4 linked regions of the Alligator mississippiensis genome follow. The protein of the gene in region 1 purifies or fractionates together with the protein of each later gene. This does not show direct contact. Links are inferred from orthologs where the notes say so. Each region holds a gene or a part of one and is shown in the gene's direction. Other genes may lie near its edges. The genes, in order: PARD3, RASSF8, PRKCI and PARD6B.

Region 1 (7,195 bases):
AGACTCGATGATCTATTGAGGTCCCTTCCGACCCTAACATCTATGAATCTATGAATCTATGAACTACTTATTAAAGACAAAGCCTCTTCATAGCTCTATTGACTTCACTTTACAGCCGCTTCTGCAAGTTTTTCAGATGATGTCTATTAAACCTAGGACTTATCACTTTTCAATGCTCCGAGCTTGTTTCCCAGCAGCTCTGATGTTCACCTAGAAAGTACAATAGCAGCATGTTAATGGAACACTTCAATATTTTTGAAATAGCAAATGGAATGAAAAATGATGACCTTACACATTTGGAACGCTTTAAATTGTCTAGAAAGAAATGCAAAACTCTAGAACTCTTGTTTCAGAGATGATACCTTTTATTAGACCAAGAAATTGCAAAAAAATTATCTTTCTTTGCAAGCTTTTGGTCCCCCATGCCCTTCCCCAGACTTAGGGAAAATTAAAGATGGTACAAGCCCCTGTAGGTAGAAAAATACATCCCTTTAAATTATCCAAGATATTTGAGCTGCACACTGTTTTACTTCAGTTTTATATTTAATAGTCTACAGATTATCAGGATTTGGAGTGTTGTTGTAGCCATGATGGCCTGGTGAATGTACAAGGCAAGGACTTCTTGTGATATCTTTTTATTTATACAGTCAGTGACCTGAGGAAAGGAACTTGCTGCCTGAAAGTTTGTCCAACAGCTCTCTCAGCTATACAGTTGGTCCAATAAAAGATAATCACAACAAATCTTTATCTTTCATCTACATTATCAATGTGGTGAAAAAACAAGGAAAATAACATGGTAAAATATAATATGGCAGTAAAAAGAATAATTGGCTATGTAATCATAATGTGTGTGTTTATATGAATACAAAATAAAAATGTTTATTCATTGATTCAAAAAAACATGATCTAACTAGGCCTCAATTTTTTTCCTGTGATACATTTATTATGATTTTAAAAATTAGGATGCTGAACAACAGGGAGTCCAAGGACACAAAGCAAACAGTTGGTATTTCCTAAGAGAACTTCCAGGAGCTTGTTTCCTGGTTTAGTTACTAGATGCTTTCATACAGAAGGATAATTTCAGATGTATGCAACTGGTTCTAATTCAGTGCTGTTTGATAGTGGACGAACCTGAACACTGGATTTGTTTAGTGGCCTGTATGAAATAAGTTGGTTGTTTCAACCCTTATCTTATGGCTTGTCCAAAGTGCATTGAGGTAAATGGTAAGATACCTGTGGGCCACAAAACCTAAATTGGCATTATCTTTGTCTATCACAGTAAACAAGCCAGTAACTAGTTATTCTGTGAAAGGACAGATTCTTATCTTCAAGAGGTGTAGTATCCCAATATCATAAATAAGACATGGTGGCAGAGCAATATGGAGAAACATATTGCTGCTGTCCAGACTTTACTTGTCTAGTGAGTTGAGAACCTTAATTGGCAGGACTGCTAATTGATAATTGTTAACGCGCTATTCACATTAGGAAAAGAAATGGGTCAAAAACTTAGTTTGTTGGAAGTGACTAATACCTGATATACATTATAGTACCTAAAACATCAAGATACAATATTTTTAGCTTACAGTTTCTATATAATCAGTGCCTACTTACAGAATATCTAACTAGAATAGTTTATCTTACAAAAGATATAAAGAGATTTGAAGTCATTGTGATCTATTGGGTCATACACATAGTACAGCAACATTTTAATGACAAATTAATCTGGTTTATTTCCCCCAAAGCAAAAGCAATTGATTATACCAATGTTCATTTTAAATAATTAATATGCCTCTGTTTTCACATGCCTCTATTTTCTGGAGGTATGTTGGAGGCAAGCTGAGAAATAGCTGCAGCAGACCAGTCTGCATTACTTTATGGAAGCGGCAAGGATTTCCTAGAATGGTATGTTTTATTTGAGCAACTGTATGGTTGGGATAGAGCTAGACAAGCTTTTGAATGCAAGATGTTCTTTGAGAGTTCTGAGCAGAACAAGTCAGGCACAGCACAGGAAACATTTTTGCAGGCCGATGCACCATTTTTGCTGCAGCTTTTGGTGGCTTGGAATGTGCTTCTTGAGAATGAAGGCGTATGCTCACTCTCACCTGGTGGCAGGGGCAGTCTGGAGAGAAATGTTGCTGCCACTGAGCAGAACTGTCCTGCATGCCTCTGCTTCCAGGAGACACCATGGAGCGAGCCTGGGAAAGGCTGCAGCAGAAACACCTTGTAAATATAATGGAAGGCCAGGGTCAGCAGAATAGGTGCTCCTCTCAGGACCAGAGTGCAGGGGGGATCCAGAGGAGGTGCAGTGGTGCAGTTTTACCCCCCACCCTTCCCCCCGTAGATTCCTACTCTACACAACCTTAAAACCCAACTGCCTGGGAAGGGCAGTGGTATTTCTATTCAGGCTGTGCTGAAAGTCAGTTGACTTCATGGTTCACTGTAATTTCCCTGATTCCTGCTAATCTCTCTCCACTCCACAGATGTTAAGAACCCTCTATCCTTTTTAACTGTGTTGGCCTTCCACTATTCAAACCATCCTCTCTTCTGCAATTTTGCTGTTAGCCATTCCTCTTGATGTCTTTCTTCTATTTCACAGCCTTGCAGGTGGTTTTTAGCTCTAGCTAAAGACTTTAACTCAGGTGTAGAAATGACTCGCAGTGATTGGAGGCACCACCAAGATCCTCAAGAAGGTTAGATTTTGTTTTATGAGCCTGCATAAGAGACATACACTTAACTGTAATGATTACAGGCCTAATGACAGAATAGGTCTTGACTGTTTTTTGCCTAGCTTCTTTAATTTTTTAAATTTCATATATAATCTAGCTAATTAGTGCACATTTTATTTATTTGTTTTTGCTTTGATTTTGCTGTTATATTTGTTTCTGCCTTGTTTTTAAACTGCCTAATATAGGGCTAGCTCCTAGCATATTAGGAAAGCATCTTGTTTGTCTCTTAACTGGAGAAAAATCTGTATTCTGTGTGATTGTGCCACACCATGTGCACCCATTTCAAAATCCTGGATCTGTCTATGCCAGAGTGCATCTTCTGAGTGACCCTCTGCGTGAGCCATCCCTCCATGATCTCTACCATGGCTTGTCGATCACTGCCCTGCCTGGCAGTGTCCTGCTGAGGGTTGGTAAGCAGAAGGAGATGGGGAGGGGATTGGGGGTGTACTGCGATTACTGCTTCATCCAAAGTTTAAAACCAACAGCCATCACTGGCAGCATGGTACCTAGACTCTTGGTGGCCTCAGGCAACCTGTTAGTATTGGGCCCCACTTCATCAGAGATAATGATAATAATAATTAAAAAATGACCATTTTCAGGCCCTGGGCAGCTGCCCAGTTCGCCCATGCCTCTGTCCAGGCCTGGTCACTGGCAGCAGCATTTCTGGTCAGTGCTGAGGGAGCCACTTGACTTCACAGCTCATTATAATGTACTGTGGGCATGGGTGACTGCTACCCTCCAGCGATCAGTCAGCGACCAGCAAGAGTCCCCCTGTGGCCAGTCTTGCCAACCAGGGCATAGCAGGGTCCCCCAGTTGTACCAACTGGGAAGCGGCCGTGGTGCTCCTGGAGGTGGCTGCAGCACTTCACGCGGCGCTCCCACTCCCTGGCCAGGGCTCCTACCTGCCCCTCGCCTAAGCGGGGAGCGCGGCCTGTCAGGGGGCGCACAGCACTCTCAGGGGTGCACGTGCACCCTCATGCACCCGCTACGCGTCCCCACTGGCTGCAGGGGTGGCCAACCTATGGCTCTTCAGACATGAACACGTGTCTCCTTGAATCTTTGCACGAGCACACAGGGGCCAGCTCCTTCCAAGCACAGCCGCCAAGCTGGTGCAGACTCAAGGAGAGGCATATTCACTTCTGAAGAGCGCAGGTCGGCCACCCTTGATCCAGTGGGTCGCTGCTCGGAGCTTCCCCGGGCAGCCGGGCTCTGCCCTGCCCTGCCCTGCCCTGCCCTGCCAGGCTGCGCCGGGGAACAAGCGCCCGTGTCGCAGCCGGGCGGGGGGCTGCCCCCTCGCTGCCGTGGATCCGGATTTGGCTTTGCCGCAGCCTTCAAGGGAAGGGTCCCGCCTGCTCCTCCTCCCCTCGGAGCGGGGGAAAGGAGCCGCCGCCGCCTCCCGCGCAGTCCCCGCCCCGGGCGCGTGTCATAGGTGCAGCCGCAGCCGGCCCTTCCCCGCGGCAGGGGCGGGAGCCGCAATGCCCAGCGCGGCCATCGCGGGGAGACAGCGCCGCCCCGGCCCCGTCCCGCCGCTGCTGCTGCCGCCGCTGCTGCCGGCCCCCGCCGGAGCGAGCGCCCGAGCCGCGCGCGGCCGCGGAACAGGTGGCCGGAGGCGGCGGCCGAGCATGTGAGCGGGGCCTGGGCGCGCCCGGGGTCGCGGCGCCGGGCAGGATGAAAGTGACCGTGTGCTTCGGGCGCACGCGGGTGGTGGTGCCCTGCGGCGACGGCAACATGAAGGTGCTGGACCTGGTGCAGCAGGCGGTGACCCGCTACCGCAAGGCGATCGCCAAGGTGCGCGGGGCCGGGGCCGGGGGAGCGGGAGCGGGAGCGGCGTCGGGAGCAACATGGCGCTTCCCGGGAAGCGGGAGCGGAGCCCGGCCGGGGCCGCGCTTTGTCCGGGGCCGCCGCCGCGGGCGCGCCCGGGGGGAGCCGGGCCGAGCCGAGCCGAGCCGAGCGCTGGCCGGAGTGGCGGTCCCGCCGCGGGCGGCGCCAGGAGCCAGGCCCTGGCCCCGGGGCAGCGGCTCTCTGCAGCTGCAGAGAAAAAAGGAAAGAAAGTAACTCGCGGAGAACAAAAGGGCCGTGCCGGGCCGGGCCGGCCGGGGGGGTCCTGTCAGCCAAGGCTTCCCCCGGAAAAAAAAAAGTTTCCAGCGCAGGGAGGAGCCTGTGTCCGGCCGGCGCCGTCCGCTGCCCCGAGCCCGGCCCCGGCCACGCGCGGCCGCAGGGTAGGGCAGGGCAGGGGCAGGGGCAGGGGCGGCCCGCACCCCCACCGCCACCCCCGTCGTGCGCCGGGCCCCGCTCGGCCCCGCCCGGCCCGGTCGGGTTGCCGCCGCTGGCAGCGGCCCCGGGCGGGAGGCGGGCTCGGCGGGGCTCGGGTGCTGCCCGTGGGAAGGTCTCCTCCGCACCCCCGCTGCCCCCGGCTGCTTCCCGCCCCGGCCGGGCGGAGACGGCTGTGCCCTCAAAAGCTTGCCTGCCTTTCTCCAGTCGGAGCCCCCCGCGGCTGGTTATTTAATGAAATGTTGTCCAGTGTCTCTTCCAAGTACTCGGCTCAGATGTTTGGGCATGAATTACTCTCTTTGGTTTTTTCCAACCTCTCTGAAATCCGCCCCCCCCCCCCCCCCAAAACACACACATACTTGATGGCAGGGTTTCGCTTTACAGATGTTTACATCAGGAGTTTCTCCAACTGCGCCAAGCTGGAGTTGAAAGTACACGGGGATTAGGCCGGTGGGTTGGACAGGATGTGCCCACAGCCCTCCCCGCTCCCCCCCAAGACGTGGTCAGGATGGGGGACGAAGGCAATTAAGTTTCTACCTTTTGATGAATTTTCCTCAAGAAGATGGTTTTGGAGGGAAAAATCATGACTACTTAGTGTATCTTTTAAAATCTTTCTGGTGTGTAACACACAGTTACAGCACTGACTAGCGAAAAAGTACAATGATTAACTAAAGTATGGCAGCTGCTATATACCAGCTGCTATCATTTATATACCATCCTTGTTGTGCGTGGCATTTCACATGCAAATAAAAGACTGCTTCCCAAGCTTTCTTATAGTTAAGAGCCCCAATCTGGTAAACCCCGACTCCTGGACTGAATGCTATTAATTTAACGGGTGCCATATGTTCTCCGAAATGGTCCCCAAGTTTTTTAGTATTAATGTTGCATTAATAACGTTGCTTGTATTAAACATCTTGGGTTTCCAACCTGTAGCCTGTAACTATCTTTCTTCTCACATCGGGCTGAATCTCATTCTTGTTTCCAGCTGCTAAAATTCATTAAAATATGGCAACAAATGCACTGAAATATAATTTCAGGAATGTAACCGTTACAATAGTTAACACAGGGAGGTTATGTGAAGGAAGATATTCTGATTTCTGTATGATTGCAAATGAGGACAAGTTATCTTTGACCAAAACTGTCTACCGTATGGGGAAAAAAACTTAAGAACCTCTGAAATGTGATATATTGACAGATGCACCGCCAAGGCTATTTGTGTGGTTATAGTCTTGGTGGCTTCCAGCCCCTGAAGCCCTTGATCCTGGTTTTGAAAGACCTTCTGTTTCATTTATTTATGTATTGTCCGGGATTAAGCTGTACTTCAGTCATGTGGGCTTGAGGTGACCCTACTTGCAATGAGATGGTTTCTGTTATTTGGAAATACTGTCTGGTTAAAACACCAAAATGGACACCACATGCCCCTTGCTTTTATGCTGTTAATGTAAAACAGAGTTTTGATGTTGTTAGTTGAAGATCTTGCATTGAAGTGCTTGGGTAATGTAGGGATTCACACAAGTGTCTCAGTAAGTAAACACGAAGAACTCCCCAAATGTAATGAACACCAGGACTGTTGTTCAGGAAACAGATTAATATGGAAATAGTTGGTGTGGTAATGTCAGATCTTTATGGTAGGACTCCACCCTTAGGGTGGAAATTAGAGGGTCCACTTGTACTGGAACGCTGCAGTTGTATGAAGCTTAATTTTTTTTTTCTTTTTTAACCTTTTATTTTAATCAAATATGTAATTGAGGAGGAAAATATGTAGGAGGGGGTGTTTTCAAATTGACTTCATTTGAAGTTGCTTAACCTTTGGAAAGCACACACCTCTTGCAGGACATCAGAAATCTAGTGGACATTTTTTGAAAATATTTTAATTGGCCTTACCACTTGAAAACACTGGTCCCAGTCCTGCAAAACTTGTGCACCCACTGCTCTATACTGGGAGCAGTCCCTTCAAGGGGATTGCTTAGAGCATGTGTGCCTAAAGCAAGGGTGGATAATTATTTTGGCTGGAGGGCCGTTTAACGAGTTTTGGTGAGCTGTGGAGCCCCACCCTGTAACCTATGACCTGTCCTTCCCCTTGGCTCCTGGAAGTACTCCTTTTGGGAAGCGAGTTTGCCATCTTGGAACTGGGAAAAAACCCCAAATTATATACTAAAAATCAAAGATCCACATTACATATTTTATTTAAATATATT
Region 2 (7,905 bases), on another chromosome or scaffold:
TGCCCTTGGGCTTTTCCAAGCCCTACAAGGAAGCTGGTAACTTTAGGGGGGCTCCTCCCAGTGGGACTTCCCCCACAGGGGAGGAGGAGTCCTCGCTGGTTAGTTAAGGGCTCCTGAAAGTGGATCATCTTTTCCCTGCAACTCATGGCTCCCAGGCCTGGAGGGTGGCCCTCATCCTCTGTGCCAAGCTACTCTCTCACCTGTAGTGGGCTTGGGGGGAGGGGGTGCTGTCCCCTAGAACAGGGCTTCTCTATGCAAGGCTTCTGGGGCCTCTGGCTTGGTGCCATCTGGTGGCTCAGTAGCTCAAACACCGTCTGGCTCCTTGGATTAGACCTTTTGCTATGGGTCAAAGGCCTGGGCTACCTCCATTCAGCGCCTCCTGCAATGAGCTCCTAGCCTCATTCTGGGGGTTGAGGACCTGAGCCACCCAAGCGCTCCAAAGGTCCTACTCCATGCACCAGCCTGTGCACCATGACTCTGGCCACACACCAGAAGTTGCAGACCCAAGCCGCTTCACGCAGCTCCCAGGGTCTGGATGCCATGCTGCACGCCGAAAGCCTAGCTGCTGGAGCCGTCCGCCATTCCCCACTGATGGAAATCTTCAGGGGTGCTCCTGGGCTACTGCTTCACCCTGCTGAGCAGCTCTCCTCAGCTCTTCTAGGCCCTGATCTTCTCTGTCCCAGATGCGTTTCCCCTCATGCTGGGCATGTAGCTCCTTTTATACTCTCCAGGGCTCTGCCCCTGAAGTCTTCCAGACCTGAGTGTTGCAGTCTTCAATCAGGTCTGAGAGGGGGAGGGGGGGGGGAGCAGCTCCTCTCCCACTTCTCTCAGGAAAGGGGAATGACTTAACTCCTTTTGCTGCCTCCTGATTGGTAGATGGGCTCCACCAATTAAAACAGCAAGTTTTCAAGCCTGGGACTCAACCCAAGCTCTGAAAGGCAAGCCTGCTACACTAGCAAATGTTTTGTTAATAAGATACTTTCCAATCCTCTGGAATTTGGTTTCTTCTCCAAGTCCAGAGCCTTCTGGCTCCTTAGAAAAACAAAGCATTTTCACTTTACCTTTCCATCAGTCTCTGTTGCCTGGATCCTAGTCCTTTTCCTCCAGTGAAAACTCCATTGACTACTTGCTGGTCTTTGGGTTATTTCCCCCCCCCCCCCAAAATCACTGATGGCAGTAGGATGAAATTGACATAAAAAAAAAAAAAATATTATAGTCCACTGCTCTGGGACTAGCCTTGTGCCCTGGTGCGAAACTAACCAGATTTGCTAATTTCACCCTGTTGTGGCTTGGCAAAGCCACGAGCAACGCATAGTAAAGCTGGTCACCCTACAAGTTGGTGATGCTTTGGCAAGTTATATTCTGTTCACATTTGGATACAACCATAAGGGTTATAAATGCATTTAGTTACAGGGTCCAGAGGTAAAACTTAATGGAACATTATAATGGAGCTATGCTAATATACACCAGATAAGGACATAACTATAAATCTTCATATAATCCTATTCATAATATGTATACCTTTCAATTTCGTACTGTTTGTATTCATAAACTCATGTTGGGAACAGAAGCCATCATATTAATATGGAGAAATGACTGACCAACACAACAGTTGATGAAAAACTGGACAGGAATAGATGAGATGTCAACACAAAGATCATTTTCATTCTAAGGACTCTTGGAGGCCTCCTCCCTCCCAAAGCAACGATTTATAACACCAGTTGTGTGACATTTCCCAGCTAAAAGAAAAAAAAATTAAGTACGTCAATCAACCAGTTGTCACTGGGAGTCCATGGTAGATGCATCTGCTCAGTGCTTCTGCAAATTAGTCCTTGAATCCAGAGGTGCATAAGAAATTGTTCGTTTCCCCTATCCAGTCATGCACAACTTTACCAGTCCACACAAGCAGGTTGCTTGGTCAAGTGAATGCATCTCTCCCTTTCATGGGCAGAGGAAGGAGGGAAGTCAGACAAGGGACTAAAAGCAAGGTCTTTTTTGTCAAGAAATATATAGTTTGTTAGGACTTTTATCCTTGCTGAATTTCTGTTATTATTTATGGTTGTCACGGTGGGGTCCTGCAGGAGGGCCGTGATCTCCTCAAGGCCCCCTTCTTGTGCCAAGTTGGCCCAAGGGCACCCTCAGATTCTCACCCGCCACGTCTTTGATGGAGATTAAATGTATGGGAGGCTGCCTTATGCCCTCTTGGTCACTTCTTAGTGGTGACTCAGACCCCGTGGTTTCCCAGACCCCTTGTGGGTCCCGTTCTACAATGGGTGCTTCCGGGGCACCCTAGCCCTATGGGCTATGCATGGCTCCAACCACCCCTTTCACCACGCCCCAAGCCTCGCAGCTGGAATAGACATTGTTCAGTCTCCTTCTGTCTCCACTCCCTTTCTGGCACTCGGGCTCTTGACAGCCCCATCTCTCTCTCTCTCTCTCTCTCTCTGTGCCCCCTCTCGGGGCTCTTCTCTGCAATGCCACCCCCTTCTCCAGGGCTGACCACGCCCACACTGGGGCTTCTCAGCAATGCCCCCTCTCTGGGGCTGGGGTCTGTGCACCCCTAATGCTGCACCCTTGCTGGCACTGGGGTTCCCACACTACTGTGTGTCCCCTATGAGGTCTCCTCCAAACCCTAATAGCCTCACCCAAACCACCGGTGATAAACAGCAACACAAAATGCAAGCCCATCGGCTATAACTTAAACAGAAGCCACCCGGCTATAATCATGCTTTGCCTACCAGGGTTCTTCATCCCACAGCCAGGTCATGTGCTGCTCCTTCAGCAGGCATCTCCTCTCTTCCACAGCAAAAAGCTCCTTCCTCCAGGGCTCCTGACAGGGACTACCTCTGGTCTTAGCTCCTAGGGTTTATAAGGGAGCCAGGCCCTACCCCTTTCAGTCAGCTGACCTCCCCTGGTTGCCCTGGCAACCCACAGCTGGGCTCCTTGTTCCCTGCTAGGGCTCTTTCCCCATCAGTTTCCCCTCTTCACGAGCAGGGCACCTAAGTACCCTGCGACAATGGTCTTCATTGCTGTACGAGACATAAGAGGAAGAGATTATAACTGAAAACTCTGACCTTGCAAACATATATGCCTGTGTTTAATTTAAACACCTGAGTAGTCCCATAAGGCTCCTTAAACTGCAAACTCTGCAGATGACTTCAGTGGGGATACATGCAAGTGCAATGCCCTGCTTGCATGAAGTCATTTGAAGGACTAGAGCCTCAAACACACAGGGAGAACAGACTATGTTATGGAGCCTAAAGAAGGATTAATTTGCAATATTACTCAAATGCAAGCAGGAATAATCACAGAACACCCTCTAAAGAAAAAAAAATCTATTGTTTAAAGTATTAAAAATAATACAAAAGGATGCAAAAAAAACCCAATAAAAAATGCTTTTCTGGGTTTGGACTTTTTATTATTCTTATAACTATTTCTCTACAAAAATAAATAACAAAAATATTTTGTTGCTTTTTCTCACAGAAAAATATTTCCCAGCTTACTGTTAGCCCTCTCCTTCTTTAAAAACTGGGACTTATATTTACAGAGTATGTGCTTGTACAGTATATACATAAATACACTCATGTGCAAAGGTTACATCCAGTGATATGCAAAGGTGAACGCACAGAATGCAGATAACATCATCAGGGTTACACCTAGAGAAAATGATGTAACCCCGGGGGGTAGGGGGGTACATACACACACAAATACGCACACACACCCATATATATATTATACAGGGTCTTCATAAAGTCTGTATGCACTTTTACACTTTAATAACTTAGGTTGTAAGTATAATAGAAACAATCTATAAATGGCATTTAAAAGCAAATTTATTAAAGTTTTAGGACAACTAGAATACACAATGTTAGACTTCAACATAACCACCATTTTCTTCTCACAGCTGATATGGACTTCAATTCTGCTACCCATACGACAGTTTACCTTCTCGTCTACAGTAGCCATTTTTTGTTTGTCAAAGGATCTGAAATAAGAACTAATTCATTATTACTTATGAAGTCTACCATTGTGTACTCTAGTTGTCCTAAAACTTTAATAAATTTGCTTTTAAATGCCGTTAACAGATTATTTCTATCATACCTACAACCTAAGTTATTAAAGTTTAAAAGTGCACAAGGATTTTATGAAGACCCTGTATATATATATTATACTAATAATTGGCATTTAAGGGGTTGAGATATAAAATGTATGCTGGTGGGAGTATGAAGGCAGCTGATAAATCTGGAAGGAGGTACACAATAAGAAAAAGTTTCAGAACCTCTGCTCTATATGTATATATCCTCTCTCTATATATTGGGGTGGAGAACCCCAGTGGCTATATATATATATATATATACACACACACACACACGCGCGTGTCATCTAGTCCGTGTGTATAGAGTTGTGTATATACACACGAACACCCACGCTGGGACTCTCCACCCCACTGTGTGTGTGTTTGTGCATATCTACACCCCTCTTCAAAAACATGTATATATCCCCTATATGTATCTATCATCTGTCTCTCCACACCCACACGTAAACACACTCCGGTGTATTCACACACGCACGCCCACACACAGCAGTACACGTACATGCACACGTACACGCGCGCGCGCACACGGGTGCGTCCTGCTGAGGCGCCCCTTGTAGCAGTCGCCGCGCTGCCGCCATGCCCCGGGCGCCTCTGTGCGTGTCCGCCCTGCACAAGCGCGTGCTCTCTCTCTCACACACACACGTACTCACACGCACTCTGCCCCCGAAGCGGCCCCTGCCCTCAGCGCGGCCGCCACTGGTGCTTTAAGACGCTCCCACAATGCCGTGGCGCCCGGCCCCGTTACCAGGCAGCTCGGGCCGCGGCAGGGCCGGGAAGGGGCGGGGCGGGGCGAGGTGCCCCGCGCACAGCTGAGGGGAGCTGGCAGTCGGGAGCCGTGTGGGCAAAGCTGAGGACCCGCTGTGCTGGAGCCGCCGCTCGCGGTGAGTGTGGACTCGGGACGTGCCCTCCCCCGTGGCCCCCGGCCGGCCCTCTCCTCTCCTCTCCTCCCCTTCGCCCCTCGGCTCTTCTCCGTCTCCCCCAGCTCCTTTCCCCACTTCCCCTCTCTTCGGTTTTTAACAGCCCCCACCCTTCTCTTCCCACCTCCAACTTTCTCTTCTTCCTGGTATTTTTCACCCCTTGCTTTCTCTCTCTCTTTTTTTTCTATTTCCTTTCCACCACCCTCAGTTTCCTCTTCTACCCTGTTTCCTCCTGGCGGCTCACCCCCCCTCTCCTTCTCCTTTCTTTCCCAGCTCCCTTTCCTCCCCTCTTTTATTCCCCCCCCCCTTTTTTTTTTGGTATCTCTGTCCCTCTCCATACAGCTCCCCTCTTAAAAAGTCAGGGGTGTTTTCCACACCCTTGGCAAGACAGTTTCGAAGCCACTTTTACCCATCAGGAGAATGTGTAGCTCTTTATTTTTCTTTTTTTTTTAAACTTCTCTGGGCTCTCTCTTGCCTTCCCCCAGTCACCCGAATGAAAACAAAATGAGTTTTTCTTCCCAAAGTGGATTGTGTTTTTGTGTTGGCTCCCCCCCCCTCCCCCCCCCCCCCCCCCGCCCCTTGCTTCCAGACAGCCAGGATTTATTTTGTGGTTAATCTTTTTTTTATTTCCCCGCCTCCTAGTAGGAAAAAGATTAAAAGTAAATCCGTCCTGCCTGTGGGGAAATGGATCAGATTTTAGGACTGGCTGCTAGGAATGCTTGAGTGAACGGTGTCTGATTTTGATCATAAAACAGCTTTAAGGCTAGGCAGGCGGGTGGTGTGGGTTTTTTTCGGTCATTGGTCGATGCAGCATTGAGTACATTGTAAACTTTGTGGAGACCGAGATGGGTTTGATTTCTTTTTTTTTTTTTTTTTAATTTCCAAGTCAGTCTTCTGATATGGGCCAACCCATCTTTCTCCACAATCAAATGTCATTTGGAGACAGCAACAAAGCTTCACATTAAATTGCAGCTCTGCATTGCTCGTGGATTTGATTGGTGTCCTATGTAAAAAAGGAGAAATATGGTGCACATTTTGTTGTGCCTTACTGAATTGCACCTGTCTCCTCTTCCATTTGAGTCTTGCACAGATCGCAAAGCTTGGCATAATAATGATCAGAAAAAAGTCACTAGAAACTAATTGAATACCTGACCAAATATATTGTGGGTTATGAAGTCTGGCTTGTGCTTTACAAGTGGCTGCATCATCTTTCAGCAGCATTGCTTGTTAAAATTAAATACGCACTGGACTGTGGAGAACTGCTAAATCAATTACCCCTTGATTTCTGGAAAGACACCTGGATTAAGATGATTATTTTCTTAAATTTTCAACTGATTTTGTATATGCAGCGCTATCCCTACTGTATGTATATCTTTGGGAAATGTAATCAAATTGGACATTAATTTGGTGCCGCTTCATATCATGGGGTCGGGTCTGCAGATGGGTAGGTAAAGAGTTGGGGGTGCTTTTTTTTCCTCAGTGGATTATATTGTGTTTTTTAAAATACATTTAAGTTAGATAAGTTAATTGACAATATTGTTTGTAGTGTCTGCATAATTTTTAATATAAGACAAAATGAGGCTGTCTTTGGGGAAGGGGAAGTGAACAGAAAAAGACTATTTTTCCTCCACGGAGTTTTCAAAAACACATGCTCCAGCAGGATAAAACAACTGTGTAATACGGTTTCTACAGCTACATGAGAACCTCTAAATCGGCCCTTCCCATCAAATAAAAAAATCCTTATAGAAGCTGCCCCTAGTTGCTTAGATTGGTAAAAGATGGGTCTTTCTCTGTGTCAAGCTTTCTGGAGACAAAAGACAAATTTGTGAATGGAATCATAAGAAACAGATGGAAAGGCAGCAAATGCTTCTGGCAACAAGTTAGTACATCTTTTTGGAGTCTGGTGGTGCTGTGTCCAGAAATATGAACAACCTGACAGAGATGACTAGCAGCTTATTTTTGATCCTTCCTTGAGGGAAGCTTTGAAAAGGGATGTAGTATTAAGAGGGGAATGAAATCTAGCTTTAAATGAAATGCAGGACTAGGGAGTTGAGTTTCTGTGCCTGTTTGCTGCCATTCCATGGCATGTGACCTTTACCTAAACTTCACCGTCTGCCCCCCTCACAGGATGTTGAGTTTTCCAGTAATGACTCTAAACTACTTTTAATACCATTTGGTGAAAATTCTTTGGTGCAAATGTATCAGTCTGTTTTTTTGCCTAACGGTTGTTTAGGAATGTTAGTTAAGTAGCCCTATGGATTCGTATATTAATATTGGCTCTTGTACGGTTGGGAAAGCACAAACCTCTCTTGTGTACACAGTTAATGTTGTGCTCTGACAGCAGTATATGTGTGAGCACATGGGGAATTTTAACATTGGCATACTGTTATGGAAACCGACCTTCTGCTCATCCACAGTGCAGATATTAGTGCAAGTTTTCCCCATAGTGTGCACCTCAAGCCACTCCTGAATAGGCTGTTTAGTGCCTGGCAGAAAGGAGACCTATTAGTTAAGTGTGGAAAAAGTACTGAGACTCCCCTAGCTTAATACACAAAATTCCTGAGCAAATGTTTTTCCTTTGTAGATACTATAAACAACATTGCCTACTTCAAGCATTCGAAGCCTTATAATCCAGACTTCCAAAATCATGAGAGGCTTAGAAATTGTGAGGGTTTTCTTTCCCCTTTTTGGTGGGGAGGAGGGGCAGGGGTATACTTTTCTTTGCCTCCTTATTTAAGGTGTTTGTTGTTGTTGTTGTTGTTATTACCTGCTTGCGTCATGTTTTCAAGCTAGTAACTTCTCCTTTCTTCTTCTAAGAAAGCTGAAATTCCTCTCCCCCTCCTTCCTCTGCAATCTCTTGATTCCAGGAGTCAAAGCTTTAAGAAATACACT
Region 3 (7,126 bases), on another chromosome or scaffold:
TGCATGCCTCAGTTCTACAGGGACAAAAGCTGCAAACATAAAGGTCAGTGTTGAAATCCATGTTGATCTAAATAATATAAAATAGCATTAGAGCCCTGAAATTATTGGAAAATCATGTCTCTTTATGATTTTGGATGTGGACAAAAGACTAATGTGGATATACCTAATTGCATCTTGTCTAGATTGCAGGGAGACCTTGGCAGAATTTAAGGGTTAAGACTGTGTTCTGGACTTTGTCAATACATTTATGGCTATGTGGTTAGAAGAATGATTTCAAAGCTTACATTCAAACATTATGAAATATGCTTGTCCATAGGTGGCTGATAGGAAAGCTGCATGTAGACTGGATAGCTCAGAGAAGTAAACTAATGAGCAAAGGCCTTGGACTTTCATTGTATTGACTCTAAACTTAGCATGAAGCTCAGTAGAAGTCAAAGACCATGGCTTTTGAAGGGGCCAAAAGCTGTTTTCCATACTAATGTTCTTAAAAAGAACAACTATGCTAGGCCTATGACTTAGCTGCAGCACTTGGGGGGGTGGATCATATGCTTTCCGAGGAGAAACCAGGGTTTCTGAAACAACATCCTTGACCTGTAAAAAGATCTGGTATATTATTACCACTTGGATGTAAAAATGTTGCAATAAGATTGTATCCTGTACAAGAATCCCTAGAAATAACTGTTAGTGGTTATAAAAATTGTTCTGTCATATAGCTCCCATTCCAGACAACTACCCTGGGCAGAAAGAGCCTCTGCCATAACTGTTTAGTGGCTGATAGGTACAGTTCATACTATGCATGTACAACATGCCTCAAGGGTGAACACTTTCAAATAAATTGCTGCTTTCCAGATGGTTGCACAGTTAACAATGACAAAGCCACAGCTTTTGAATGTACTGACTCATTTTTCATGGGTGAGCCATCTCCTATTGTGAAAAGGTATAATATCCTTTGGTCAGGTCAATGCTTGTTCAATTTTATCATCAGACAAGGTTTAGGACTAATTTTCTTTAAAGACAGGGATTTGTAATCAGGGACAATGGGAGCCCAAATGGAGAGACATGTTATTGCCTTACAAGGAACTTTCAGATTTTCTAATAGCTAGTTCACCTCCAGTGCCCCGAGATGGTGTTTTGAAACTAGGACTATTAGTGTTTGTCCATATTAGAAACCTGTGTCCAATGAACAAAATAAATATTATTATTTTTACCAGCCTGTACCTGAATGCAAACAAGAAATACCCAGTTGGAATCACTTAAATTATTTATGACAATTTTAATTTGCATTCACGTGCTTTGGAAGCACCAATGTTAAAATAAACCTCCACAAGGACTGCTTTTTTTACCCTTGCTGTCAAACTTCTGTTTCATATGTCTGGTACATACAGAGTCTAAACAGCATTTGCCTTGGAGAAATGATGACAAAAAGAAGGCAATCACAAGCAGCCAATGCACTATAAAATCGAATGGGGCGAGAAAAAACAGAATCCGGTTGGCCAAAATCTGTGATAGTGGAATTTATCTGCAAGACTGGATATGTTATTTTCTGAAAACATGACATTACACATGCAACAAAAACAAGATTTGTCAGGGTTTCTCATCTGATACAAGGGCATGATCAAACAAAATCACTAGACCAGTTATATCTAGGAGAAAGAAAGTATTTATTTATATTAAGGTCAAATTAAGGTAAACTCCAATGAAAAGTTGCTATATTGTTTCTAATCTCCTTGTAGAGGAAGTTCACACAGGTACTGACCCTCTATCACCAGTTCAGTGGATGATCTTCATAAATTCTGACACTAGGGGTCAGATTCTTAAGCCTGTTGCAGAAAAAACTACTACTATCAAAGTGATTTTGACAGAAACAGATTTTTGTATGCAGAATCACTCACTTTTTAGTAATCACTTAATTGACATGCCTTATTCCATCACCTATGTCTCTATATCTGTCCTGAAGAGTGCATGCCTTTCAGCCTGTTTTCCAGTTGTGATTTCTATTCCACCACATTTGACTGACTTCTAAGTATTGTAGCCATACTACTGGAACTTTGGTAAATGCAAGACCTCTTGTTTAATACTGGCTATTAGAAAGTTAGGTCCATGGATTCCTTATTTTTTTCTGAGGTGTTTAACAAATGAATTGACTGTCTGGCTTGTTGCAAGTCATCAAGTAGAATTTAGACAATCTTGCAGCTAAATTTCTAGATTTGTTTTCCTTTCCCAACAATAAGCTATAAACCTGTTGCTCCTGTTGCCACAGCTGTTTAAGTAGGTGGAGTGTCAAATATTTGACAAAGAGCTTTCTGTTTTCTTCTGGCAAGTTATCGATTGCCTGTACTTACTGCCTGCAGAAGTAAATACAACCCAAAAGCCATATTGGTGTGTATGGTGGCAGGGGGAGAGATAATGCAGTTGATCACTCAACCAGCTCACTTTTTTGGAGTAGTTCAGAGTGTTCCTCACCAAATGATGTTTCACTCACAAATCTGAGTACACTGTTGGAGCAATTTATTTCTGTAATTGCATCCTGTTACACCTGAATGCTGCTGCATTGAACACTGTAGCTCATGCCAGTTTTAGTAACTGACTCAATCACAAACTCAACACAGTGGTAACTCTTAGCACAGTTCTAGAAAAGGAGCTTTACAGTACATTTCGAAGGAGAAAATGGACTGCTCTAGATGCCAGTTTTAGCACATGCATTGGAAGCGGAACTGACATTAAAGTTAACAGGAACTGGACTGGGCTTAAATCCAACAAAGCACTTAAGTCAACAGGATCACCTAGTGCTTTGTGAGGCGTGTACTTGGTTTAATTGGAGCCAACAGAAGAATTTGAAGTCTGACTGTTCTCACTTTGCCACAAGCAGAGTACTCTGATAGGTATATTTTAAAATCTAAAAATGCTGCCTGTGCAAGGTCTTGTGGGAATGTCCTGAGATGGCCAACGATAATAATCAGCTTGTAGAGGACTAGTTATCTAATCGCCCACACACTTAGAGGTCTCCATAATTAAACTCTCAACAACACTTAGCTATTTCCTATTAAAAATAGAGAACATCCAGCTTTTTGTAACACATTGCTGCTCGTATAATACAAAATCTTACACGGCAGCAGCAATACCCTTGGCATTGTTAGTATAAGTTTTTGTAGCTGGGTAAGCTTAGTCCAGTGGTTCTTTGCCTTTTTGGACTCGAGACACCCCATGAACAATGACAACTTTTAGTTTTCACTCCATTTTTGATGGCAGAAAGGATATTAGAGTAGATGTGATATCTTTTATTAGACCAACTGAATAGTTGGAAAAAAGTTCTTAGCAAGCTTTTGGGCGCAATCGCCCTTCTTCAGGCATAGGAACAGCAGAGACTCCCTATGCCTGAAGAAGGGCGATTGCGCCCAAAAGCTTGCTAAGAACTTTTTTCCCAACTACTCAGTTGGTCTAATAAAAGATATCACATCTACTCAAAGAACCTTGCCTGCCCATGTCCCTAGACCAGTACAGCTACCCCCAGCAACCCAGAAAAATATTAGAAGAATTCTAACACGATATTAGAACCATTCTAACAACACTAGAACAATTAGAACAATTGCAAAGAACTCGGAAAAACCGCAACAGGTCACAACGCTTTGACATCTGCGGGTTTGTCTGGTGAAGCACGTGTGCACGCTTAACATTGGGGGCAGCCTTGCAAGGATTTCCAGGCTGCTGGGGTTGCCGTGGCTGGGAATCACTGGCTCACTTCCTGCCCTCTGGCCCGATGCTGAGCAATCCTGGCAACCCTGTCCCCGTGCATCCACGGGGATTCAGGAGCACCGGCACTGCCCGCCCCTCAGTCCCAACCGGTCCAGCACGCGCGGCGGACTACAAGTCCCATCATGCCTCACGGCTCCGGCATTGGGTTGTACCAACTGCCGTGGATTGAGGAGGGGGGGAATCCTCCTAACCCCGAGCACCTTCGAAGCGGCCCGCCCCCCGCGGTGTGAGCACTTGGTTCAGGCCGCGGGCAGGGGGCGGGGCAGAGGCGCTCCGGGGCGCGGGGGTAGCCGCCGCCTCTTCGCGCCGGGCCCTCGGGAGCGGCCGCCGCCGGGGAGGGAGGCGGGAGGGCAGGGGCGGGCGGGCGGGCGGGCGGGCGCGCGGCGATGCCGACGCAGCGGGAGGGCAGCGGCGGCGGCGGTACCACCATGTCCCACTTGTCGCTGGGCGGCGGCGGCGGCGGCGGCGACAGCGCTCACCAGGTCCGCGTCAAAGCCTACTACAAGGGGTGAGTGCGGCGGCGCCGCGTGTTCGGGGGCAGGCGGCATTTTTGGGAAGAGAGGCGTTTCCTTCTGCCCCTCCCTGGCTCCTCCAGGCCCCCGCTGAGCCTTGGCCCTTTGTTCCAGGGGTTTGCACAGTGCTTGGGAAGAGACCCCCCCCCCCCTTACCATCTAAGCAAGGGCAAGACTTGGCTTTGGAGAGAGATGAGCAAATAAAAATAAAGAACTAAGAGCGTGAGGAAATGCATCAGTGCTTTCATTAAGCCTGCATTGCTTTCCCTTTAGTAATCCATGTAATAATCACGGTTAAGATAAGGCCAAAAGCCACGCGATGATTGGGACAGTTTATATAGAGCTGTACGCGTGATATTTTGCTTGTCACTTCCGTCCGTAGCATCTCTGGTAGACCGGCTTTTTTTTTTTATTTTTTATAAAGAAATATCTGAATGGTGTTTGCGTGAGCATTTTGAGGTGTTAAATTACTTAGATTGTGTGCAGTTGAAAGCCATTTAAGATTTCATCGCTAACAAGAACAACAACGTGTTTCTTGTGTGCGGGTCGGTGTGAGATGCCTCTCTCCGTTCACCTGGGTGTAAATGCAGTTGTCAGTTCAAGTAAAGGATTGAAACTAACCAACTCCCTTTGTGACTCACGTTAATGATCCCGGTTATAAACAAGCTGTCTAACTGGAATGCCTTCCTCGTGAGCTGTATGAAGGTCTCATTTATACATTTCCTGCCCACCCCCACTATTTTCCTCTAACTTTATGCACTCCAAAAAATTCTCTCATGCTCCATTCAGCCTGTCAGACTCTCATCTTAAACTATCAGAAACCTTGCTAGAATATACGATTTTACTTATGTCTGGCTTCACACTTGGGGACTGAAGACCTTAAACTCTCTGGCCCCCTAGCTAGCATGGAGACAGTGCTTTTGCTCAAGGAATTTGGCTAGGGAAACTGTTTTGAAATTATAATTTTTTCTCTTCAGAAAAAAGTTGTTGGAGCTGACATAAGTGTGTATGTACATGCCTGCGTATGTATATGTACATGTTCTGATGGACCTTCACCAGGGAAGGTTTCTTGGCACAGGGATAGAATTTCTGCTCAAATCCAGGGGGTGGACATTTTTATGGTGGTACAAAGGCGAAGCAAACCAACATCCATACCCCCTTGTCTTGTGTCAAATGCCTAAAACTTGTGGTCATAACTTGTGACTTGGTAGCAGCCTATAAGTATACAAGGGGTGTGCATCAGGATCTGGGGGAACCCCTGTTCAGAGCACCCGAACGAAAGACAACGTCCAGTGGTCACAAACTCCTGGAAGACCATTTTAGGCTGGACATCAGGCAAAAAACTTCTTTACCATCTGTGTTCCCAGAGCCTGGAATAGCACCTGTAGGCACCTACTCCAGACACTTTTAAGAAACATTTGGACACTTATCTTACTGGGATTCTTTGACCCTAGCTGACTTCCTGCCTCTTGGGCAGGGGCTGGACCCAGTGATCTTCCAAGGTCCCTTCCAGCCCTAATGTTTATGAAATCTATAATCAATTTGTGATGCTTTATTACAGCAGATGTCTTTTAGGTTTATGGTGGGAGAGTGTGGTCAGCTCAGAGCTGCTGATGCTTTCCAGCAGCCCTGGGCTGGCACTCCCATGGTTTCAGAGTCTCAATCCCATGTGCCCTGAGAATTCCCATTCCTGGGGCAAGCAGGATCAGGCCCCGAAGGCCTGGGAGCACCTGCCTGGGTTCCCCTGTTTGGGATTTCCCAGACATCCATTGACACTCTAGTATGGTCCCAGACCTGAGACGGACAATCAGCTTATTGGCGGGGCCTGGGCCTTGGACCACACTGGAGTACGGAAATTGCTCCAGTGTAGTCTTGGGACTGAGGCTGCCAATCAGTTCACTCGTGGTTCCAGCCCCAGGACCACAATGGTGTATGTAGCTCTGTCTGATGTGGTCTCCAGGGCAAGTTTCTGTAAGCTGAGAAAGCTAGGGTTTCCCTTGTTAGAGATGTGCCCCAAAGATTTCCAGGGCACATCTCTGTTAGTGGGGAACACATTGCCCATTGTCCCACAAGATCAATGGCGGGACAATGGGCAATCTGTGTTTTGCCCAGTGAGGTGGATCAGTTATGCCAGGCGCATCCTGGCACTCCTCATCTGTTCCATTTGGTGCCATCTATTTCTAGCCTTAGAGCAATAAATAGTCTACCCAGGTCTCTTGCCAGGGAAGTCAAGTCCCTTGTCTGAATCAAGTAGGCCAGAGTCTTGAACTTTGTTCTTACCACATTGCAGGTTAATGCCCTGCCTGCTACAGGCCTGAAACAAGTCTCTTCATAACTCTTGGCTTTTGACAAGAATTTTATAAAGTCTGGGTTTACTCTGTAAATAGGAAAACTTCTGAAATTTAATTTTAGTGAAATCAAAACTTCATGAAAATCTGTTTTTGCTCAGTTGTAAGATATCTATTCAAGGGCTTTGTTGCTAGAGTATCAGCTGTGAAGTGTGTGAATTTTAACTCTTGGAGTTGCTGAAGAATTAGGTAGCAAAAACAGTCATCTCATTGCAGTAGGACTTGAGGGCTCTTTTGGGAACCTTAACCATATTCAGCCTGATTTATTAGAGCCTAGATCATTTGTTAAAGAGTGGCAAAGGTTCTCAGATGGTGCTGTAGCATTCATAAGAGATTCAACAAAAATTCAAAGAGCATATGAGTTTGATGAACAGTTTGAGGCACTATACCAGGGTAGGAAACCCCTGGCACAGGTGCCAGAGCATGGTGCACACAGGCATTTTGCTTGGCATGCGTGCCTTGGGGCAGAGGGTGGGGAAGGGGGCTGTGCTGCAACAACAAGGATTGGGCCCC
Region 4 (7,039 bases), on another chromosome or scaffold:
GATTGGAAAATGACTGCATGTTTATAAAAGGGAAACACCAGTATGAAGGAAGCTAAAGTACTGATTCTTATTATGAGTGTTAAATGCTGTAAAGTTTTGCAAACTTCAGATCCTTTTTCATGGAAAGAAAGCATGACAATCTGTTATCACATTCCTACAACCATCTTTCTCTTTTCCATTAAACTATCACTGATATTTTTCTTCACTTACCAAAAGTGGACAGAACTTCCATTAATATCTACATGGTCAATCCAAGATTTACCTAATCCATGCATAGATTTACCATCTACAGCCACTTCCATTCAAAATCAAGTGGTGGTGCTAGCACCCACCACTTATATAACAGCCAAGTAGCTAGAGCGCTTACTCTGGAAATGGAAGACATTGGTTCTAGGCCCTCCTCAGCTTGAGGGGGGGTCAGAACCCTATATATCTTCCTCCTAGAAGAGTGCTCTATACTAATGGTTTATAAAATCATCTGGGAAAGGGAAACTCACATGACTCCTGATGAAGCTATAAGAACTGCAAGATTCACAGAGCCAGAGAGAATGAGTAAAAGCTAGCATGACTCCCTAGCTCAGTGACAAAGGCACTGTTTTGAATGAGGGAAGAAAGGTGGGGTGGGACACCTGGGTTCTCATCCTTGTTCCAGGGCCTACTTATGTATTTTGCATTAAAGCACTACTAGATAGAAGACATTGTTAACAGCAGGGACCAGAACCCAGGTTTCCCCCTTCTCTTGGAAGCGTCCAAACAACTATGGAGTTACAGATCCTTTTGCTTATTTTTCGTACGGTAGTCCTGGGAGTTTGAGCCAAATTTAAAAATAAGAATGAATTAAATATTAATGCAAACCTTCTGCTTTCTCCTTCAGTCTGAATTTTATCCCCTGAGGAAACCTTTCGGGTACTGGGCAAGATAGATGGAATACCACTCCATTAAAAAAAACAGGAATGAATCAGATGGAAAAAAGACTTGTCATAGGGAATACAAGCTGTGTGGGGGTTCTGCTCTTAATGATGCAATGAGGGTGGGAGGCTGTCAATTACCACAAAATAATTAAGAAACCTTAAACAAAAATACCCAGCTCCCCTTTGAGTTCTGAACAGGCTGATGGACACAGAACATTATTTTCTTTGAGGGGCAGTGAATAGCTTAACTCTTAATCACATGTTTATCGAACTTGGAACTAAAATAGCCCTGCAGTTCTGCACTATGCCTGGCACAGGCAGCTTCCCCTCCCCTTACCTTTATCTGAAACCAAATTGTTCATCACATTCCTTTCTTACGCAATATCAGCTCACTGTAATGCAAGATAGCTAGTGATTAATACTTTTTATTAGGTTGGTTCCAGTGACTCGAGATGAATTTGCTCTGACTCTTGCAAGCACGAGGCCACACCCAGTTGTATGGCACTTCAACAACTCTAGGAATGTGAGACGCATTCTTAGAGGAAACCTAATAAATCTGTAATGATAACATCAGCTTCTTTACAGTTTTAAGTGCACAGAACTTCCTGGAGGGGTTTCCACCTCAGAATAAAGGTAAGTCAATTGCAATGCTAACCCTTGAAAAAGCTGTGCGCCTCTTTTGTCTCCTCCACTGGCCTCTGCATCTTCCAAGTGCCCAGGACAGCAAAGCTGGTCACTTATAAACAAGAGCAGAACTGGATAGAGACAGAGAGAAGCCACTTCTTTCTCTCAGTTTTGGCGACTGTGAAATGACAAATTAATTAGTTCATCTTTGCTGACATGGCTATAATTCCACTGATTTCCAAGTATGTCCGTGTTACAGGAGAATCCAGTGTTAGGTATGGATAAGATCAAATATGTCACTTCACTATTTTCTTTATCAAATAGAAGCAGGGATGTGTAGACTTGAACTAAGCATCTATTGATCTATAACAAAACATTTTAACACTGAACTATACCCTCTGCACTAATCAGGTCTTGTCTTGTTTGGGTGAGAGGTACAATTTCTCTGCCTCACAGTTGGCCTTTGGCCTGCTTTACACACTACATGGCACCAGTTTACCTTAAAATGTGATTTTAAAGTTATTTTGTTAAAATGGTGTAATTCTGTGTGTGGATACTCTTCTATTGGATTTAGCTTAGTTTATGTTTAAATCATTAACTGTTTACACATGAAGCCCATAAGCTCCCTGAAGAGATTGGGGATGCTGAACCTAACCTATAGGCAGTAACGGAATGGGATGACCACTGCGAAAGATCACACCTATTCCTACAGCAGTTTATACCAACACCAAGTACGTCCCCTATTGGGCACGACCTTGACAGAGAATTGTGGGGCAAGGTGAACAGCCTGATCTGGATACAGATGGTTCAAAACAACACTTTACAAGATAAGCATTCTGGATGCCCCCTGCGTGAATGTGGTGTCCGACAAATGACACAGCACTTATTTGAAAGCTGCAATCTTTACAAAAGCCCAGACAGGGCAGACGGAGTCCACACATTAAGCAATCACACCAGACCGTGGCACACAGATTTGGAAGTTGATATGATGCCATGCAAAATAGATGTTTAAATTTAAAATCTGGTGTACGATTTAAAAGTTTCACCTGCGGAACTATACTAATTATAGATGTGACCTTTTTTCCCCTCCTTTTCTAAAGGAAAAAAATCCTTTTGTATAGCTTAGTTAATTAATTTTTGAAAAAGCTCTATTCTATAAAGTGTCTCCACTAGGGGGATTTGCTAGATGATTCTAGTGGCAAACACAAATTTTAAGAGTAGACTAGCCGTGTATATCTGAGTTCAACCAATACACGAGTATGCTTTGAAAGTTCACTCAGGGTGATAAATATTGCCAAATCCAGTGACAGTCCATGTACTAAAAATGAGAAATTTAGTGAGAAACAGTAACACCTCTACAACTAGAATGAATTTTAAAAGCCTGCCAGCAGAAGCACTGTCCCGACTGGGGTCTCAGTGCTGAGATGGCAGGCAAAGTCTTTGGGTAGAGGTGATATCTTCTATTAGACCAACTAAGCAGTTGCCAAAAAGCTTGCAAATAACATTTTTGCAACTATTTAGTTGGTCTAATAAAAGATATCGCCTCTACCCAAAGACTTCACCTGCCTTTTGTGCTCAGATTGACATGGCTACTGCTCAGATCAATGCTCAAATGTCATTTGATTTGAACTGAACAGGTGCAGCCCTGTGCACAGGCATTTGCAGTTTGCCGGTCCATGAGATGCCTGGCAGGTGGGGCGGGCTGTCTCCCCCTCTGCTCCCGCAGGTGCCTGGGAGCAGCGGGTTGGCCTGTGGGAGGCAGGTGCATGTAGGTGTTCTTGCCAACTGCTAAGTTGGTCTAATATCTTTTATTAGACCGTCACCACGCTGGGGTCACTTCACCACATTTGTCTTCCTGCCTAGAGTAGGGGAGGGGGCTGGACCCAATGATCTGTAAGGTCCCTTCCAGCCCCTTCCAATCTATGAACATCACATCTACTCAAAGAACCCTGCCTGGTGCATGTAGGGTGGGGCAGCCATCATAGAGGACAGTCCGGTTGTCCTGTCGATACAAAACCGGACTCCTTTACGTCCTCTATGATGAAAAATAGAGGGCATAAAGGCATCGGGTTTCGTATCAACAGAGTAGCAGAAAAACGGAACGTCCTCTATGATGGCCACCCTAATGTAGAGGCGTGACAAGAACTGGCTCCCCACCCTGCCTGACTTGGCTGTGGGGAAGCCTGTCCTGGCTCCTAATCCCTTGGCCATAGTCCCTTGTCAGACGCACATGAGACATACCCTGCCTGCCCTGCGCCCCTTTCAGCCTAGAGACTTGAGTGCATTGGGCCCACACAACCCCACACCATATTCCCGCCCCCGCAGCACCCACCGCGCATGCGCCGGCCATGTTGGAACGTGGCCCAGCAGGTGCAGGTGCGCCGAGCCGCGTTTCCCGCCCCCTCCTCCGCCGGGCAGCGGGTGCGCATGCGCGGCCGCCGCAGGTGCGCCGAACCGCCGGCCCGTTGCGCATGCGCGGAGCGCTCCGCCCCTCCCCCCTCGGCGCGGCAGGTGCCAGGCCCGCGGGTGGCTCCTCCCCGCGCAGAGGGGCGGCCGGGCCGGAGGACGGGCTGACCGCGTCCCCCCTCCCCTCCCAGGAGGAGGCTCCGACCGCCTGCGGCATGAACCGGGCCCAGCGCGGCGTCGGGGGCAGCCGCGGCCTCGGCACCATGGAGGTGAAGAGCAAGGTGGGTCCCGCTGCTGACTCACCTGCCGGGCCCGGGGTCACTCGCGGCCCGGCCCGGCGGCGGTTGTCCGCGCGAGGGCTCCGCTCCGTGTCGCCCCGAGCTGCGGCTCTGACGTGGGAGATGAGCGGAGATTAGCGGCCGCAGGTCGGGGGGCGGCGGCGGCGGCGGCGGCCGGGGGGGGGAGCGCGCCCTGCCCTGCCCTGCCCTGCCCTGCCCTGCTTTCCTCTCCTCTGTCGGGGAATAAGGGAGTCTGGGGGCGGGAGGGGACCTCTAGTCCGAGCCCTTGCCTGAGGCAGGAACCCTGACCAGGTCCCAAGGAAAAAAGTGGGGGAGGAGAGAGACAATGATAAAAAATACCCCTTACGCTGGGGGCGACATGGACGAGGGGAGCGGTTGCCGTGCCGGCAGACCTCCCCCTGCAGGTAGAGCCGCAGCTGAATAAGTCACGGTGCAGGGCTGCGTTCGCATGCTCGATTTCTTTTTTCTTCTCTTTTCCTGGCATCGATAGCGATGTTGGTCTGAGGAACGGGTTGATTTTGTTGCTTTCCCGTGCCCCTAAGCAACAGATATATTTGAACAGCATTTTTCAGGCATCGACCAAGATTCAGTCCCGCCTAATATCTTGCTCGCTGACGGTGTTGGAACTCAGCATTGTAAAGGTGTTTATCTGTGTTATGAAAGGGTGTGTCAAGCCATATTAGCCAAATACAATTGGGTAACTTGATCTAAAAAGCACTTTTTTCCCCCCCCCTCTCAGCAAATGCGAGTGTGCCTGCACTCGGGAACTTGTTTTCTTTCATTTGTGGAAGCTGCAATGCAGGCTTGGTATAGGCATTTTTACCAGCGTGCTGTTTAGTTTGTAACAATCTGCGCCCTGCCTATTTTTACCGCTTCCATCTTTCCTGATGTTAACTGTGATCAGGGCATAGATATATTTGAAGGCTCCGTGACGTGGCGGTGTAGATAGTAAAGGTATCAGCAGCTTCTGTCATAGGTTGTACTAATAACGTGACAGTTTCAGAAAACCTGTGTAGATAAGAGTCCATTGGTGTAACAGCTCTTGGGTGATTAAAATGAAAAGTGCTATTTTAAGCATGTCTATAGATATAGTTGCTCATAACCTTTTTCCACTTCTATATTTTCATTTAATGTAATTGGAGATGCACCTTTTTTTGTTTTGTTTTGTCTAAAAATAAAAACCCCTCTTTCATCAGCCCTAATGTGTATGAATCAGCTTGGTGTTTCAGGCCACCAGTTCCCAGATACAGATGTCCTGTTTGAATGAGAACAAAACTGAATGTTATCAAAGATGTTATATGCATGCCCTTTTGGTGTTTTGGAAGAGGCGTAAGTTGCTAGTGAGTGATGAGAACATCTTAAGCTCTGTACAGATCCATATGTCAGTGGGTGTCAGGGTCTGTCACTGGATCTGCTTGTCTCTGTTGCAAGGGATGTAAAGAAGCAAAGCGTCTTGCTTAAGCACATTTTTGCAGGAATGTTTGTATTCCTTTGCTGGAAACAGAGAGATCCTCTAATGAACAGTTTTGCTGTGTCCTAATTTACACTGGAGAACTTAACCAAAATCACAACTAATGTATGTATGTGAGCAGAAGCCTGTTTCAGACCACAGCATGCACTTGCTGGCAGTACAGTTCAAGTGAGATGCTATAGAATGGATATTTTCAGAAGGATGAAGAACTTTTTAGAACCAAAGAATATTTGCAGTTGTACTTGTTTCACTGGGCACATCAAATCTCATTCTTTTGAAATGCAAAGTGATTACAGTATCAGTTGTAGAGACTTTTATCTTTGTGTATGGTAGTGGGCAACAAACCAGCATACAGGTTTCCTTGCTTTATATGGGTTCTGTATGTGCAAATTTTCTCTTATGGGATGACCCTTTTTATACCAAAAATTTGTTATATGTGAGGTCTGTTCACTCTTATGCTGCTTTGCGCAGCGCGTTGTGGGAGTGACATGCACCAAAATGTAGTCTACTGTGTGGATCTGTGCTCTTTGCTCATTGTCTGCAACACTTATTTCTGTAGTTGTCATCCCCATTATGGTAGTGCCATGTACTTGTGTGTACTGCCTGCTGTTGGCGAGTACCAAAATTGTCTTGTAAAAGTGGTAGAAATGGTCAGTACAGTTGAGGTTTTGGAACATATCCCTATTTATTGCATTGTAAAGTGGGTTCCCTTTACGTGAATTTGAGTTATGTGCCGTTTTCCAGGAACACATGTACAGCATAAAGCAAGGGAAACCTGTACTGTGAGGTTCCTCTCCCCACTCCTGCCCTCCCATCTAATATGGTGCTGAACTAGTTTCAGTGTTCTCATAAAATATGGTGTGGCTGTTTGTAGCTCATTGGATTACTGCTGCAGCAAGTTATCACATAAAGATAGCATTGGGATGCTGCAGGGCAAGAGTAGTCAGCATTAGTCTTTCTGTAGTAAAGCATGTGACTAACATTTCTCAAAAGAGTGTAATTTAGTGTAGTTCTAATCTAAAAAGGAAATAGTCAGCAATGCATCTAGCATATAGGTGGGAAGTGTACTGTGCTTTTCCCCTTGTAAAATGGGGATGCTCTGCTGTTCATGTTTTATGAAGTGCTTTAGTTCTCAATTAGCAGGTAACCCCTTTCTCTTCTGCAGCCCACCTTTTTAAGCATTTTTTCTTCTTTGAATACCCATCTTCTTAAACAACCTTGCCTTCCTTGGAGCTTTTCTCTTCCATTTTGTTGTAGTGCAGCTTATCTAATAAGAGTAAAGGAAAGTAATTTTTATGTTCAACTGCAAAAATAATATGATGTTTTGA

The links.
Region 2: the proteins of PARD3 (region 1) and RASSF8 purify together in Homo sapiens (affinity purification with mass spectrometry; 4 studies listed by BioGRID and IntAct, counting the BioPlex papers as one, with this or other methods). This does not show direct contact. The link is inferred for Alligator mississippiensis from reciprocal best matches to the Homo sapiens genes PARD3 and RASSF8.
Region 3: the proteins of PARD3 (region 1) and PRKCI purify together in Homo sapiens (affinity purification with western blotting; 5 studies listed by BioGRID and IntAct, with this or other methods). This does not show direct contact. The link is inferred for Alligator mississippiensis from reciprocal best matches to the Homo sapiens genes PARD3 and PRKCI.
Region 4: the proteins of PARD3 (region 1) and PARD6B purify together in Homo sapiens (affinity purification with mass spectrometry; 5 studies listed by BioGRID and IntAct, counting the BioPlex papers as one, with this or other methods). This does not show direct contact. The link is inferred for Alligator mississippiensis from reciprocal best matches to the Homo sapiens genes PARD3 and PARD6B.

What each region holds. Positions count from the first base shown.
Region 1 is NC_081828.1:194,860,415-194,867,609, reverse strand, and holds the start of PARD3 (partitioning defective 3 homolog), read left to right. Parts: upstream 1-4,193; 5' UTR 4,194-4,394; coding exon 4,395-4,514; intron 4,515-7,195. UniProt on the Homo sapiens protein: Adapter protein involved in asymmetrical cell division and cell polarization processes. Seems to play a central role in the formation of epithelial tight junctions. Targets the phosphatase PTEN to cell junctions.
Region 2 is NC_081827.1:128,470,850-128,478,754, forward strand, and holds the start of RASSF8 (ras association domain-containing protein 8), read left to right. Parts: upstream 1-4,887; 5' UTR 4,888-4,977; intron 4,978-7,905.
Region 3 is NC_081830.1:74,797,621-74,804,746, forward strand, and holds the start of PRKCI (protein kinase C iota type), read left to right. Parts: upstream 1-4,121; 5' UTR 4,122-4,139; coding exon 4,140-4,261; intron 4,262-7,126.
Region 4 is NC_081832.1:12,816,326-12,823,364, reverse strand, and holds the start of PARD6B (partitioning defective 6 homolog beta), read left to right. Parts: upstream 1-4,026; 5' UTR 4,027-4,156; coding exon 4,157-4,222; intron 4,223-7,039. UniProt on the Homo sapiens protein: Adapter protein involved in asymmetrical cell division and cell polarization processes. Probably involved in formation of epithelial tight junctions.